Linked DNA regions of Oryctolagus cuniculus. The protein of the gene in region 2 interacts with the protein of the main gene of each other region in a biochemical or structural test. Links are inferred from orthologs where the notes say so. Each region holds a gene or a part of one and is shown on either strand. Other genes may lie near its edges.

What was found.
Region 1: the proteins of GADD45A (region 2) and EEF1A1 form a complex in vitro, tested with the Homo sapiens proteins (2 studies listed by BioGRID). The link is inferred for Oryctolagus cuniculus from reciprocal best matches to the Homo sapiens genes GADD45A and EEF1A1.
Region 3: the proteins of GADD45A (region 2) and AURKA form a complex in vitro, tested with the Homo sapiens proteins (2 studies listed by BioGRID). The link is inferred for Oryctolagus cuniculus from reciprocal best matches to the Homo sapiens genes GADD45A and AURKA.

Annotation. Positions count from the first base shown.
Region 1 is NC_091436.1:99,027,791-99,031,914, forward strand, and holds EEF1A1 (elongation factor 1-alpha 1), read left to right. Parts: upstream 1-1,324; 5' UTR 1,325-1,352; coding exon 1,353-1,496; intron 1,497-1,753; coding exon 1,754-1,933; intron 1,934-2,046; coding exon 2,047-2,343; intron 2,344-2,423; coding exon 2,424-2,574; intron 2,575-2,675; coding exon 2,676-2,932; intron 2,933-3,098; coding exon 3,099-3,333; intron 3,334-3,435; coding exon 3,436-3,560; 3' UTR 3,561-3,845; downstream 3,846-4,124. UniProt on the Homo sapiens protein: Translation elongation factor that catalyzes the GTP-dependent binding of aminoacyl-tRNA (aa-tRNA) to the A-site of ribosomes during the elongation phase of protein synthesis.
Region 2 is NC_091438.1:104,885,819-104,889,839, reverse strand, and holds the start of GADD45A (growth arrest and DNA damage-inducible protein GADD45 alpha), read left to right. Parts: upstream 1-1,221; 5' UTR 1,222-1,615; coding exon 1,616-1,659; intron 1,660-2,114; coding exon 2,115-2,216; intron 2,217-2,465; coding exon 2,466-2,703; intron 2,704-2,896; coding exon of another isoform or gene 2,897-2,943; intron 2,944-3,755; coding exon 3,756-3,869; 3' UTR 3,870-4,021. UniProt on the Homo sapiens protein: In T-cells, functions as a regulator of p38 MAPKs by inhibiting p88 phosphorylation and activity.
Region 3 is NC_091442.1:5,219,271-5,223,350, forward strand, and holds the start of AURKA (aurora kinase A), read left to right. Parts: upstream 1-1,280; 5' UTR 1,281-1,481; intron 1,482-1,764; exon of another isoform or gene 1,765-2,122; intron 2,123-2,161; exon of another isoform or gene 2,162-2,308; intron 2,309-2,435; exon of another isoform or gene 2,436-2,656; intron 2,657-3,682; exon of another isoform or gene 3,683-3,741; intron 3,742-4,080. Other genes in the region: CSTF1 (cleavage stimulation factor subunit 1), read right to left, coding at 16-184. UniProt on the Homo sapiens protein: Mitotic serine/threonine kinase that contributes to the regulation of cell cycle progression.

The DNA.
Region 1 (4,124 bases), on a different chromosome or scaffold from region 2:
GCCCAGGGACCGTCGCTAAACTCCCGTTACCCTAGAACCGAGAGATCGCCGCGTCCCCGCCCCCTACCCCTCGCGCTCGTCGTCACCGGGACCGAGGCGAGCATGCGCGAGGCGCTGTGTGCTCGTCAGTGGTCGGAGCGCACATCGCCCACGGTCCCCGAGGCGTTGGGGGAGGGGACGGCGATTGAACCGGTGCCTAGTGGAGGTGGCGCGGGGCAAACTGGGAAAGCGGTGTCGTGTGCTGACTCCGCCCTCTTCCCGAGGGTGGGGGAGAACCGTATATAAGTGCCGTAGTCGCCCTGGACGTTCTTTTTCGCAACGGGTTTGCCGCCAGAACACAGGTGAGTGTCGGGTGTGGCTTCCGCGGGTCTGGCCTTGAGCGGGCTGGGGCCCTCGCGTGCTCGGGGACACTGCCATGCCACTGAGCCTCTTGACGAGGTTCCTGGCTCCGAATTTCGGGCTGTAACGGGGCGGGAGGGTTGGAGGTTTGCGCGTTTTCCAGGAGCCTCTTCCTCGTGCTGGAGTTGAGGCCTGGCGTGGCCGCCGCGTGCGAGTCCTCTCGCCTTCGCGCCGGCCTGGCTAGCCTCGCTCGCGGGGCCCTTCGGCCCTTTGAGTTTTTACGTGGATCGGTACGGCTCTTTTTTTGTTCGTCGAGATGGGCCCGCCGAGGCCGGGCGGGCTACCCCGCGCGTTCGTCGTCCGGCCCGAGGGGGTGGCAGGGCGGCCGCGCGGCGTAGGGACAGCGAGCGGCGGGGCCCGCCCGTCCGGGCGCACATGTCGGGCGCGGCCTGGGCGAGGCCCGACGGCGCCGCGCCTGCCCAGGCCGGGCGAGGGGAGAGGCGAGGGTCGTGGGGCGGGCGGCTCGGTGGGGCCGCGGCCGCCCCACCCCGGGCGGCGGAGCCCGGCCCGCTCGGCACCAGTTGCGTGCGCGGAAAAAGATGGCCGCTCGCCGTCCCCGCTGCAGGGAGCTCAAAATGGAGGACGCGGTGGCCCGGGAGAGCGGGCGGGTGAGTCACCCACACAAAGGAAAAGAGCCTTCCCCTCTTCGGCCGCCGCTTCCTGCGACCCCACGGGGTACAGGGCGCCGTCTGGGCACCTGGCTTCTTCGTGTGGCCTTTGGAGTTCGGCTTGGCTCGGCTGGGGGCGGAGATTTTTTAGGCGATGGAGTTAACTCACTCGGTGGGTGGAGACTGAAGAGTTAGGCCAGCTTGGCATTGGATGTAATTCTCCTTGGAATTTGCCCTTTTGAGTTTTGAACGTGGCTTAGTCTCAACCCTCGGACAGTGGTTCAAAGGTTCCCCCCCTTTTTCCATTTTAGGTGTCGTGAAAACCACCGCTAAATCAAAGCCAAAATGGGAAAGGAAAAGACTCACATCAACATCGTCGTCATTGGCCACGTAGATTCGGGCAAGTCCACCACCACTGGCCATCTGATCTACAAATGTGGTGGCATCGACAAAAGAACCATTGAAAAATTTGAGAAGGAGGCTGCCGAGGTATGTCCAGTATCGCAAGGGAAAGATGCTGAATTACATTAAGTCTGGCCACTAAAATGAGAGTGCTATGACTATAAAAGACAACAGTGATTAGTTGTCTGAATGTGAATGTTAAAATCACGAGCCACCATATCGACTGGAGAGCCACCTAGGCCCAGCAGTTTGGGAAGCGGAATGCATTCCCAAGCGGAGGGGGGCATGGGGTTTCAAGCTTTGCTGTGTCTTAGTAACCGTCTGAGTGCTCTGTGTAATTACAGATGGGAAAGGGCTCCTTCAAGTATGCCTGGGTCTTGGATAAACTGAAAGCCGAGCGTGAGCGTGGTATCACCATCGACATCTCCCTGTGGAAATTTGAGACCAGCAAGTATTACGTGACTATCATTGATGCCCCAGGACACAGAGACTTCATCAAAAACATGATTACAGGCACATCTCAGGTTTGTGCAACTAGTAACTGTAGACATAAGGTTTTCTAGGCGGGGGGTGGGTGAGTTCCTCCTTAGGTTTGAGGTACCTTCGTTCACAGTGTGTGTCCTTGATTTCTTTAAAGGCTGACTGTGCCGTCCTGATTGTTGCTGCTGGTGTCGGGGAATTTGAAGCTGGTATCTCCAAGAACGGGCAGACCCGTGAGCATGCCCTTCTGGCTTACACGCTGGGTGTGAAACAGCTAATTGTTGGTGTTAACAAGATGGATTCCACTGAGCCACCCTACAGCCAGAAGAGATACGAGGAAATCGTTAAGGAAGTCAGCACCTACATTAAGAAAATTGGCTACAACCCTGACACAGTAGCATTTGTGCCAATTTCTGGTTGGAACGGTGACAACATGCTGGAGCCAAGTGCTAATGTAAGTGACTTTCAAGACAGTGCTTGTTAAAGAGCTGGAAGTGGTGATGTGATAGAATTAATTGTTCTCTTGTGTTTCAGATGCCGTGGTTCAAGGGATGGAAAGTCACCCGCAAAGATGGCAATGCCAGTGGAACCACACTGCTTGAAGCCCTGGACTGCATCCTTCCACCAACTAGACCAACTGACAAGCCTCTGCGTCTGCCCCTACAGGATGTCTACAAAATTGGTGGTAAGTTGGGTATTAATGTAACATCAGAATATAACTTGAATTGGAACAGGTGAAAAATCTTTGGCCCTCAATAACTCTTTGGTAATCTGCAAATATTTTAGGTATTGGCACTGTCCCTGTGGGCCGAGTGGAGACTGGTGTTCTCAAACCTGGCATGGTGGTAACTTTTGCTCCAGTCAATGTCACAACTGAAGTCAAGTCCGTCGAAATGCACCATGAAGCTTTGAGTGAAGCTCTTCCTGGGGACAATGTGGGCTTCAATGTCAAGAACGTGTCTGTCAAAGATGTTCGTCGTGGCAACGTTGCTGGTGACAGCAAAAATGACCCACCAATGGAAGCAGCTGGCTTCACTGCTCAGGTAACAATTTAAAATGATCTGTTAATTGACAATGTTCATGCATACTCAAGGGGGTAAGCAATCTGATGCATGTATGAAGTGTTATCACATCAGGGGAGTTAGCATTTCTAGCTGTTACCACAGTTCAGTTTGAGAAGCACTAAAATGCATATCCTTTTTTTCCCAGGTGATCATCCTGAACCATCCAGGTCAGATCAGTGCTGGGTATGCCCCTGTACTGGATTGTCACACAGCTCACATTGCTTGCAAGTTTGCTGAGCTGAAGGAAAAGATTGATCGTCGTTCTGGAAAGAAGTTGGAAGATGGCCCTAAATTCTTGAAATCTGGTGATGCTGCCATTGTTGATATGGTTCCCGGCAAGCCCATGTGTGTTGAGAGCTTCTCTGACTATCCTCCTCTGGGTAAGGATTTTTTTTTTTATTGCTATTACAAGTTGTACTAAAGATTAACAATTGCTTCTGTGAACTATGTGTCTCATGGCAACTCAATACTTGTTTTAATAGGTCGTTTCGCTGTCCGTGATATGAGACAGACGGTTGCTGTGGGTGTGATCAAAGCAGTGGACAAGAAGGCTGCTGGAGCTGGCAAGGTCACCAAGTCTGCCCAGAAAGCTCAGAAGGCTAAATGAATATTACCCCTAATACCTGCCACCCCAGTCTTAATCAGTGGTGGAAGAACGGTCTCAGAACTGTTTGTCTCAATTGGCCATTTAAGTTTAATAGTAAAAGACTGGTTAATGATAACAATGCATCGTAAAACCTTCAGAAGGAAAGGAGAATGTTTTGTGGACCATTTTTTTTGTGCGTGGCAGTTTTAAGTTATTAGTTTTTAAAATCAGTACTTTTTAATGGAAACAACTTGACCAAAAATCTGTCACAGAATTTTGAGACCCATTAAAACAAAGTTTAATGAGAAACCTGTGTCTTCTTGTCAACACTGGACCTGTCAAATGTGTTCCAGGTTTTTCTAATTAGAATTGGCTGGAATTTTAAAACTCCATGGGTTAGGGATTTTTTCCCACCTGTTTGTTTTAAGCTATGGAGGGCTGTTAGCCCTGCTGGTTAGAACTGTTGACATGTAATTTAGTTTAGAAAGCAAAATTCTGTAATCTTAAGGGATGAAATGTTGCATATAAAATTGTGTAGCTACAAGTAAATTTGTTAGAATCATTAAATTTTGGTTTCCCAAATTA
Region 2 (4,021 bases):
CTTTTTCTATTAAATTAAGAGAGCTGGAGAATAATTTGTGCAGAATGATACAAATAAAAGGGTACAGAACTCCCAGGGACCCTTGCAAAAATTTACTTCTGTGACCTTCGACTGTAGAGTGACCTTAATAATGTAAGCACTCTTTTGAACGCAAGCATTTGGAAGGCATTTCCACCAGGTTGGGTGACTTCAGTAAATTTAAGAACTGTTTTTGCATTTATTGCACAAACTCAAAAAACAAAGAAAGGGATTTTTGAACTGTTCAGTGAAAGCCTACACATTAAAGTTTGTTTTCCAGAAGTGTGCAGTTAGAAAAGTCTGCTTTCCACCTCCAAGTTGCCATTATCCCAAAGGTGAGATTGTAGCATATGACTAAAATGACCTATAGCTACAGCTTCATGATTCAGCATCTAACATCAATAATTCACGGTGAGATCATAGGCTGCCTGGGGAAGGTAGGGACACACTCACTTGCTTTATGAAGGGAAGCCGAGGGCACACGGAGACAGAATTTTGAATTTAGACTGGCAGCTCGCGTGGGCGTGGGATGCGTGTCTCCCGCGCCGGGTGTCAGTGCAGAAGGCGCCTTCTCTGCGAGGGGCTCTTTGAGAAAGGTGACCGTGGGCTGTCAGGCAGCGACTCACACATGTGGTCACCAGCTCCCCACAGATCCCAACCAGCCCTGGAGTTCCACAGTCCCACTGGGCGGGTTCGGTAGCCTCTCTGCTTTCTGCGGGAAAAGACGCCAGCTTGGTTCTCTGCCATCCCTGAACACAAATGTGTTGGTTTTTCTTTATTGAGCTTCCAACCCTTGTAACCTTCTAAAAATAAATCAAACCAGCCAACAGGGCACCGAAATACTACTAGGACTAATAAGCAGCTTCGCCTAGCTAGCCTTTGATAAACAACACTGCTGAGGTAAACTTTGCCCTACAGGTTTGGACACACTATTTTCTTTTTTTAAATGTAACCAGCTTAGTAATAATTACCGCACTTGGGTGCATTAACCCTGAAAACAAAAGACATGAAACGATAATTTAAATATGTGCACCAACTAGAAAAACACTCAGCAAACCGGCCTCAGCCTCCCGCCGCGACAAAGCCCTCGGCCCGCCCCCGCCCCACCAACCGCGGAACAGCCAGCTCGCGGCCCCGCCCACCTGCGCCCCGACCGCCCCAGTCCCCTACGCTCGCCTCCCGCGTGACTCCGCCCCCTTCCGCTCCTAATAGCCTGGTTCCAGGAGCCGGGTTCGGATTGCCCAAACCAGGCTGATTGCATAGCCCAATGGTCGTGCCGTATGCAAATAAGGCACGAAGTGGTTGGCTGGGGGCTGGTCGGATAACCCCGGGGCCCTTTGTCCTGCAGTGGCTGTGTGGCAGCTTGCGGTCGTGGTGTCGCGGTCCTCGGCGAAACCAGGGGCCGAGAGCCGGCGGGCGGGAGCAGAGGACGGCGCGGTGGCTGCAGGCGCTGGAGGTGGAGCCCGGACGGAAGAGGGGCGGCCGGACTGCACCAGAGCCTGGGAGCGAGTACGGGGAGCAGGCGCCCGCGCGCCCACGGTGGCAGGAGCCGCCCGCACGCCGCGCGCTCTCTCTGTGAGGGACCTGCAGTTGCAATATGACTTTGGAGGAATTCTCGGCTGGAGAGCAGAAGACCGAAAGGTAAGTCGGCTGCTGGCGTCTGCGACCTGAACTCCTCGCGCCCTGCCCGCGCAGCTCCCTGCACCCGGATTGCGGAGAGTGGAGGGGCGAGCGGGCGGCAAAGTTTGCACAGGGCACCTCCAGCCCTCGCTCCCTCAGGGACCCTCAAGGCGCGTGCCCCCAGCCCGGCCGCCGCTCCCAGAGACTTTGGCAGAGGGCAGCTGTCTGGGGGCAGTGTCCTCCGGGGAGGGTGGCGGGAAGCACTGTCGGGGCTCCTCACCGGACACCCCAGCTTCTGGGCGTGCCGAGGGTCAAGGAGGGGGGTGGGGGTGACGGGGCGGGAGACCCTGGGTTTGCAGAAAGCCGGGGTGCTTGGCGGCACTTGCACTCGTCGAGGCTCGCGGTGCGGGGCCAGGGGCCCGCGGCGGCTCCGAGGTCACGGACTGACGTGCCCCCTCGCCTTTGCCCGCGTGTAGGATGGACAAGGTGGGGGATGCCCTGGAGGAGGTGCTGAGCAAAGCCCTGAGTCAGCGCACCATCACCGTCGGTGTGTACGAGGCGGCCAAGCTGCTCAACGTGTAAGTGGGGCCCCCGCTGTCCCCTGGTGCCCCTGGCCGCCCCAGCCCGCCGGGGTCGCGCTCCCGGGCGCTCCCCTCGCCCTGCGGCGCCGCTTCCGGCCGCCTTCCATCTGTCCCCGAGGCTGCCTTGCGACGAGCGGCGGGTGGTGAGGGGTGGGGGGCAGACCCCGGGGACCCGAGCGGGAGTGTCAGGCGCCCACGCGGGCCGGTGGCGCCCGTGTGCTCACCGGCCCCGCGCGCTGCCCGCAGGGACCCGGATAACGTGGTGCTGTGCCTGCTGGCGGCGGACGAGGACGACGACAGGGATGTGGCGCTGCAGATCCACTTCACCCTGATCCAGGCGTTCTGTTGCGAGAACGACATTAACATCCTGCGCGTCAGCAACCCGGGCCGGCTGGCGAAGCTCCTGCTCCTGGAGACCGACGCCAGCCCGGCGGCCAGCGAGGGCGCCGCGCAACCGCCGGACCTGCACTGCGTGCTGGTGACGGTAAGGGCCTGGGGGACTGCGGGCCGGGCCGGGCCGGGCCGCAGCCCTGGAAGGGAGGGAGTCCAGAGTCGGCTGCCTGCAGCCCGGGCGGGGGCGGGGGTCAGGAGCCTGGCCGCCTTTGGCCCACTGAGGAGTGAGGCGGACTTTCAGCCGGGATGGACTAGTTTCATCATCACGATTTTCTCTGCTAAAGAACATGTCTGAGCACGTTGGAGGCAGCCAGCAGCGGAAGAGATCCCTGTGAGTCAGCAGTCAGCCCAGCTACTCCCTACCTACATCTGCACTACCTCCCGTGACTAATTCCTTTAGCTGGGCAGATTAGATAAAGCCAAATAAATTCCTGGCTCACCCCTCATTAAGGAGTCAGCTTATTCTCTGCCAGTTAAAGCTAAAAATAGAAGTGGTGTAGGAGACAGAACTTATTAATTCCCTAGAAATACATTAAGAGGATAGAGTGGAATTTTTTTTTTAATATACAATCTTGCATTTTTTTAAATGGACCTTTTCCTTGCTGTGATGCAAACCTTTGGGACTAGGTACCTTATGTGTTCCGAGGTAAATGTGCAGGCATTTGAAATCTGTCTTTTTTGACTGGTGTAGTGAAGCTTAATGATTTTGCTGCTCCTGACAAGTACTGTTCTGTCTTTTGGGAAGATAACAGGTGGCAAATTCTGCCAGCTGCTGGGTAGCTCCCATTGTGTGCACAGCCTGGAACTGCTTCTCAGTCTTGCTTCTCCCAGGGCTCTGCCAGGGTACAGCTTTGGTAGAGCAAATCTGTGAGTGATAACTGTCATGCAAAACTGAGCCAGTACCGTGCAAACAGGTGTGGCTCAGTGCTGGCTGCACATTTTAGACGTCGCTGAGATCGTATCCCAGTTACCTAGAAGAAACTTTATTTATTGTGCATGTAACTTGTCCCTGTGCCTTGCAGCCACAATATAGAATGTTCAAATGTCTTCCCATCAAGAGTAGAGTACTTGTAAGCAAATGCTGTTTTGTTTTTATTTTTTAGCAATAAATTTATGTCTCTTATCTCCCCCCTCTCCCCCCAGAATCCACATTCATCGCAATGGAAGGATCCTGCCTTAAGCCAACTTATTTGTTTCTGCCGGGAGAGTCGCTACATGGATCAGTGGGTCCCAGTGATTAATCTTCCTGAACGGTGATGGCATCTGAATGAAAATAACTGAACCAAATTGCACTGAAGTTTTGAAATACCTTTGTAGTTACTCAAGCAGTTACTCCCTACACTGATGCAAGGATTACAGAAACTGATGTCAAGAGGCTGAGTTCAACTACATGTTCTGGGGGCCCGGAG
Region 3 (4,080 bases), on a different chromosome or scaffold from region 2:
GGATTCCCGAGCTACCTAGTTTGATGAGATGCAGGAGCTGCTCGGAGGGCGCACAGACCGACTGCGGCTTGATCTCGTTGATGAGGCCGTTGGCGATGCTGATGTAGCCGTCATAGAGCAGCTGGCTGATGATGAGCTTGTACAGCTGCTGGCGGTCCTTCAGGCCCACTTTGGTTCTGTACATCCTGGGGGTGAGGACAGCGTCCCTGCCAGCTGCAAGAAAACAGGTGGACGGTGACGCACCGCTCAGTCAGCCGCCACGCAGGGTCTCCCTCAGGCTGTAAATCCCTGCTCTGCGGCTGCAGAATCTCGGGTCAGGGCCATCACTCCCCTGAGCCAGCTTCCGCAGGTGGTAACTAAGAGAAGACGGCATAAGCTGCATGGCAAGCACTGGGTACAGCCCCGGCACCCAGGAATCGCTCACGCCGGCCACCACGTGCAGTGGGACCCCTCACCGGTTCTCCTCTGCACGGGTACCCCAGAGTCTTCCATTTCTCTGGTCAACACTGACCCGTGCTTGCAACAGGCAAGACAACTGCTCTTCTGTCCAATGTCTAGGTTAGTTTCCATCAGCTGAGCCGCGTTTGCCCGTGTCTGTTACCTTCAGTCTTAACACCTGCTTTAGGGCACGTGCGCTTGTGACTAATTGTGTGATTTAAAGGTGAGCTACTTACTAAGCCTTTCCGAGAAGAGATACAGCAAAGACAACTATAAAAATAGAAACGATATAAAGATCCAGACTGATTCACGAGTACCCAAGTTTCCTTCAATGTTAGTTAAATGTAGAACTAGATGATGGCCCCTGGTTTATACAAACAAGAACGCTAGCTGGTGGACTTCCCCAGATAATCTGACGAATCAGTGTCTAGGGCTAGGACTGGACCTAACGGCTAGGACGCCCCAGGGCATCCGATGTCCGAGTGCGGGTCGAGTCCCGGGGCTGCTGCCGCCAGCTTCCTGCGGGCCTGTGCCACCCACACACAGAATTCTCCGAGGCTGGCCCTGGCCTGGCTTAGCCAAGCTGCTGTGGGCTTCTGGGGAGTGAATCAGCAGGTAGGAAGTAAATTAAATACGAATATCTGTACGCATACGCATGTCTGGGCAGACACGGGAAGGCTGCAGGTGTCTGTAACTGTAATGAAAATAAGAGCGACTTCAGAGCCCGAGTTCTAACTACCGGTGGGCCCTACAGCACCAGTGCTTCCTGATGCGCGGGTTAACTGTCGGATACGGGGCGGGCACTCTGTAAAGGCCCACGCCCGTGCAGGCGACGCCGGGACCCAACGGAGCCGACGCAGCGGGCTCACAGGGGTCGGGACGCCCGCTCCAGTGCAAGGGTGGCCGAGCAACTCCCCCGGGACGCGACCACCACCCTGTCCCGTCTCCACGCTTGCAGGCGCGCATCGTGCCGGGTAGGAAGGGCATAAAGGAACAAAAAGGCGAAAGGGTCGGTCAAGCCGCCGCACCGGCCCAGTTTGCAGGTGAGGACACTGAGGCACGAGGGCAGAAGAACCCGACCCGCCACGGTGTCAGAGGGGCCAGGTGGCGCAGAGGCGACCTCGAGCTGGGGTCGGGCTGGGAGCGAGGCCCTGGGGAAGGGGAAAGGGTGTGCAGGCCCACCCCGCAACTCGGGGCGCCAGCTCGGGGCGCCCGCCACCTCGCTCACTCTCGACCTTCCCGCCTCGCCCCGGCCCTTCGGGTGGTCCACTAAAGGGCCCAGACGACCACCCCAGCCACTCCTGCCGTATCCCCGGACCCCCATACCCGCAGATCCGGCTCTCTCGCTCTCCCGCTCTCTCCGAGAAAAATGGAGGCGCGAATCCTGCCCAATCGATCGCTCCGGGCGCACGTTTGCTGCGCACGCGCGAAGGGCGCCACGCCGAGCGCTGCGTTATCGATGGGTCCCAATCTCCCTTGTGCTTCTCGCCATCTTACTTACTGGCACGTTCGAGCGCTTCCTTCGCCAATTCCGACTTTATCTCCTATGGGACATTCCTGACTCCAAGGGGCTGTAGTCTCATGGGCAAATGCCTGATCCCAGAGAGCAGCGCGGGGGTTAGAACGGGCACTGGCCGGACGGGCCGTTGGCTCCCCCACTTCCGGGGTCTCACGGGGCAAGTGCGCCTGCGCGCCGTCTGCGCCGCCGTGCTTGTTGTGAGCCAATCACAAAGTGACTCGCTGTAGCTCAGGCCAATCAGCTTTCGGGTTGGAGGGTTTAACTCCTATTTAAAATGAAAAACCTTTGAATCCTAACGGCTGAGCGCTGGGAAGGACACCGCGCCTCTGCGTCGGAGGCGAGGGTCAGCCGGTGGGTAGACCGTGGGGGGCAGCTCTGCGAGTGGGAGCCGGGACGAGGGGCGCCGGCTGGGGCGGGCGGGATCGGGCAGAGCCGCGGCGGCGCATTCCCTCGGCGCCGGGCGCCCGGGGAGACGCACCTGAGGGGCGTCCGGCGTGAGTCCTGGGGGTTTGGGGTTCACGCCGCAGTGGTGGTGGTGGTGAGGTAGGGGCGGCGGAGGAAGTGACAGAGCCGTGCGCGCGTGTGGCTCCCGGCGGGGACAGCAGCCGGGGGAGCCTGTGCGGGCCGGAGCCGGCAGCAGCGGTATCGGGACCGTGTGAGGTCCTCGTTACCCGCACGGCCGCGCCCCTCGGGGGACAGACAGGGGCCGGTGCGTGTCGGCCGACCGGCCGGCGGTGTCCAGCGCGGCGTGCGGTTTACGCGTCCCGGTCCGTTTCTAACGGACGTCCGGGGAGGCCCGCGGAGCTGCCGCGTAACTCCTCCCGGTTTGCTGAATTGAAAGCTTGCCGGCGGCACACGGGGTCCCCGGCCCGTGCCCTCCGTCCCCGCGCACCGCCGCAGGTCGGGGGAGGGGAAGTAGGAGCCCCCTGTAGGATGAGGGGGTCGCGGGGTCGGCCCGAATGGGCCCTCGAGGGGCTCCTGGCCTCGCGGGTGCTGGATCTGCAGACGCTGCCTTGCAGGCGTCTCTCCGCAGGGTGCTGGATTCGTAGCCCGCTGCGTTCTGCTTGTCCTTCGTCTGCCTGAGCGAGAGCCCGGAGTAAGCGGGAGCAAAGGCCTGTAGGTGTTTCCGGAAGAATTGAGGTCTGCGTGGGCCGGGTACGAGGGCTGTGACCTGGACTTGTTCTGGACGGTGCAGCAAAGCATTGCAACGTGTCTGCAGCCCTGAGTGCCTAACGCACGCTTGCGTTTCCTTGTCGTTACTCTTACTAACCCCGTTTCATGTGAGGGCAGACCCGTCTGCATTGTGGAGCTGATATTGGGGGGCTGGGGAGCGCTGTCTGGTTGCATTCCAGAATTCTGATAAGAGGTGTGCTGACTCCCAGTGCGGGCTCACCGAACGTTGTAAACGATACTTGTTGTTGGTTCCCTTCGTCAGGGGGTTGAGTTACTCTCAGCACTGGCGCGTGTGCAAACGTGCTAGACGTGGTTCCGGTTCTGGGACAGCGATAGAGGACCAAGTGGAGCCAAGCCCTGCTCTCTCGGAACTTCCGCCTCCACCTGCCTGGCCTGGGAGGGGGACAGTAAGCAGATGTGCGTCTGTGTCAGGCGTCAGTGCAGTGGGGAGGTGGTCCCTGAAGGGAGCGTTTCCGCAAAGACCTGAGTGAGGTGTGAATGAGCTGCACTTGGGCAGAGGGAACAGGAAGTGCGAAGGCCCTGCGGAGGGAAGCAAGGGGCCGTGTGCAGGCAGGAGAGGCGCTGGGTCAGGGGCGGCCGCCTATCTGCAGGTAGGGGTACGAATTGTTTTTTCTTTCGAGTTGGGAGTGTGGGGGGCAGGGGGCTTCTGAACCCGGGGCCACACAGCTGTTTGTTAGTGAGCTCACTAGCCGCGGTGATGAGGAGGAGGGAGCCGGGCAAGGCTGAAGTGGGCGACCTTCGGGGCCGCCTGTGGGTGGAGCAGATGGCAGTAGAGGTGGTGAGCAGTGCCTGATTTTTTTTTTTTTTGGAAGGTAGAGTCAACAGAATCTGAACGGATGGGACACGTTTGAGAAGGGGAACCACATCGTGATACGCTGAGGCTTTTGGCCTGAGCAGCAGCAGGATGGGTTCACTGTCAGCTTGGGGAA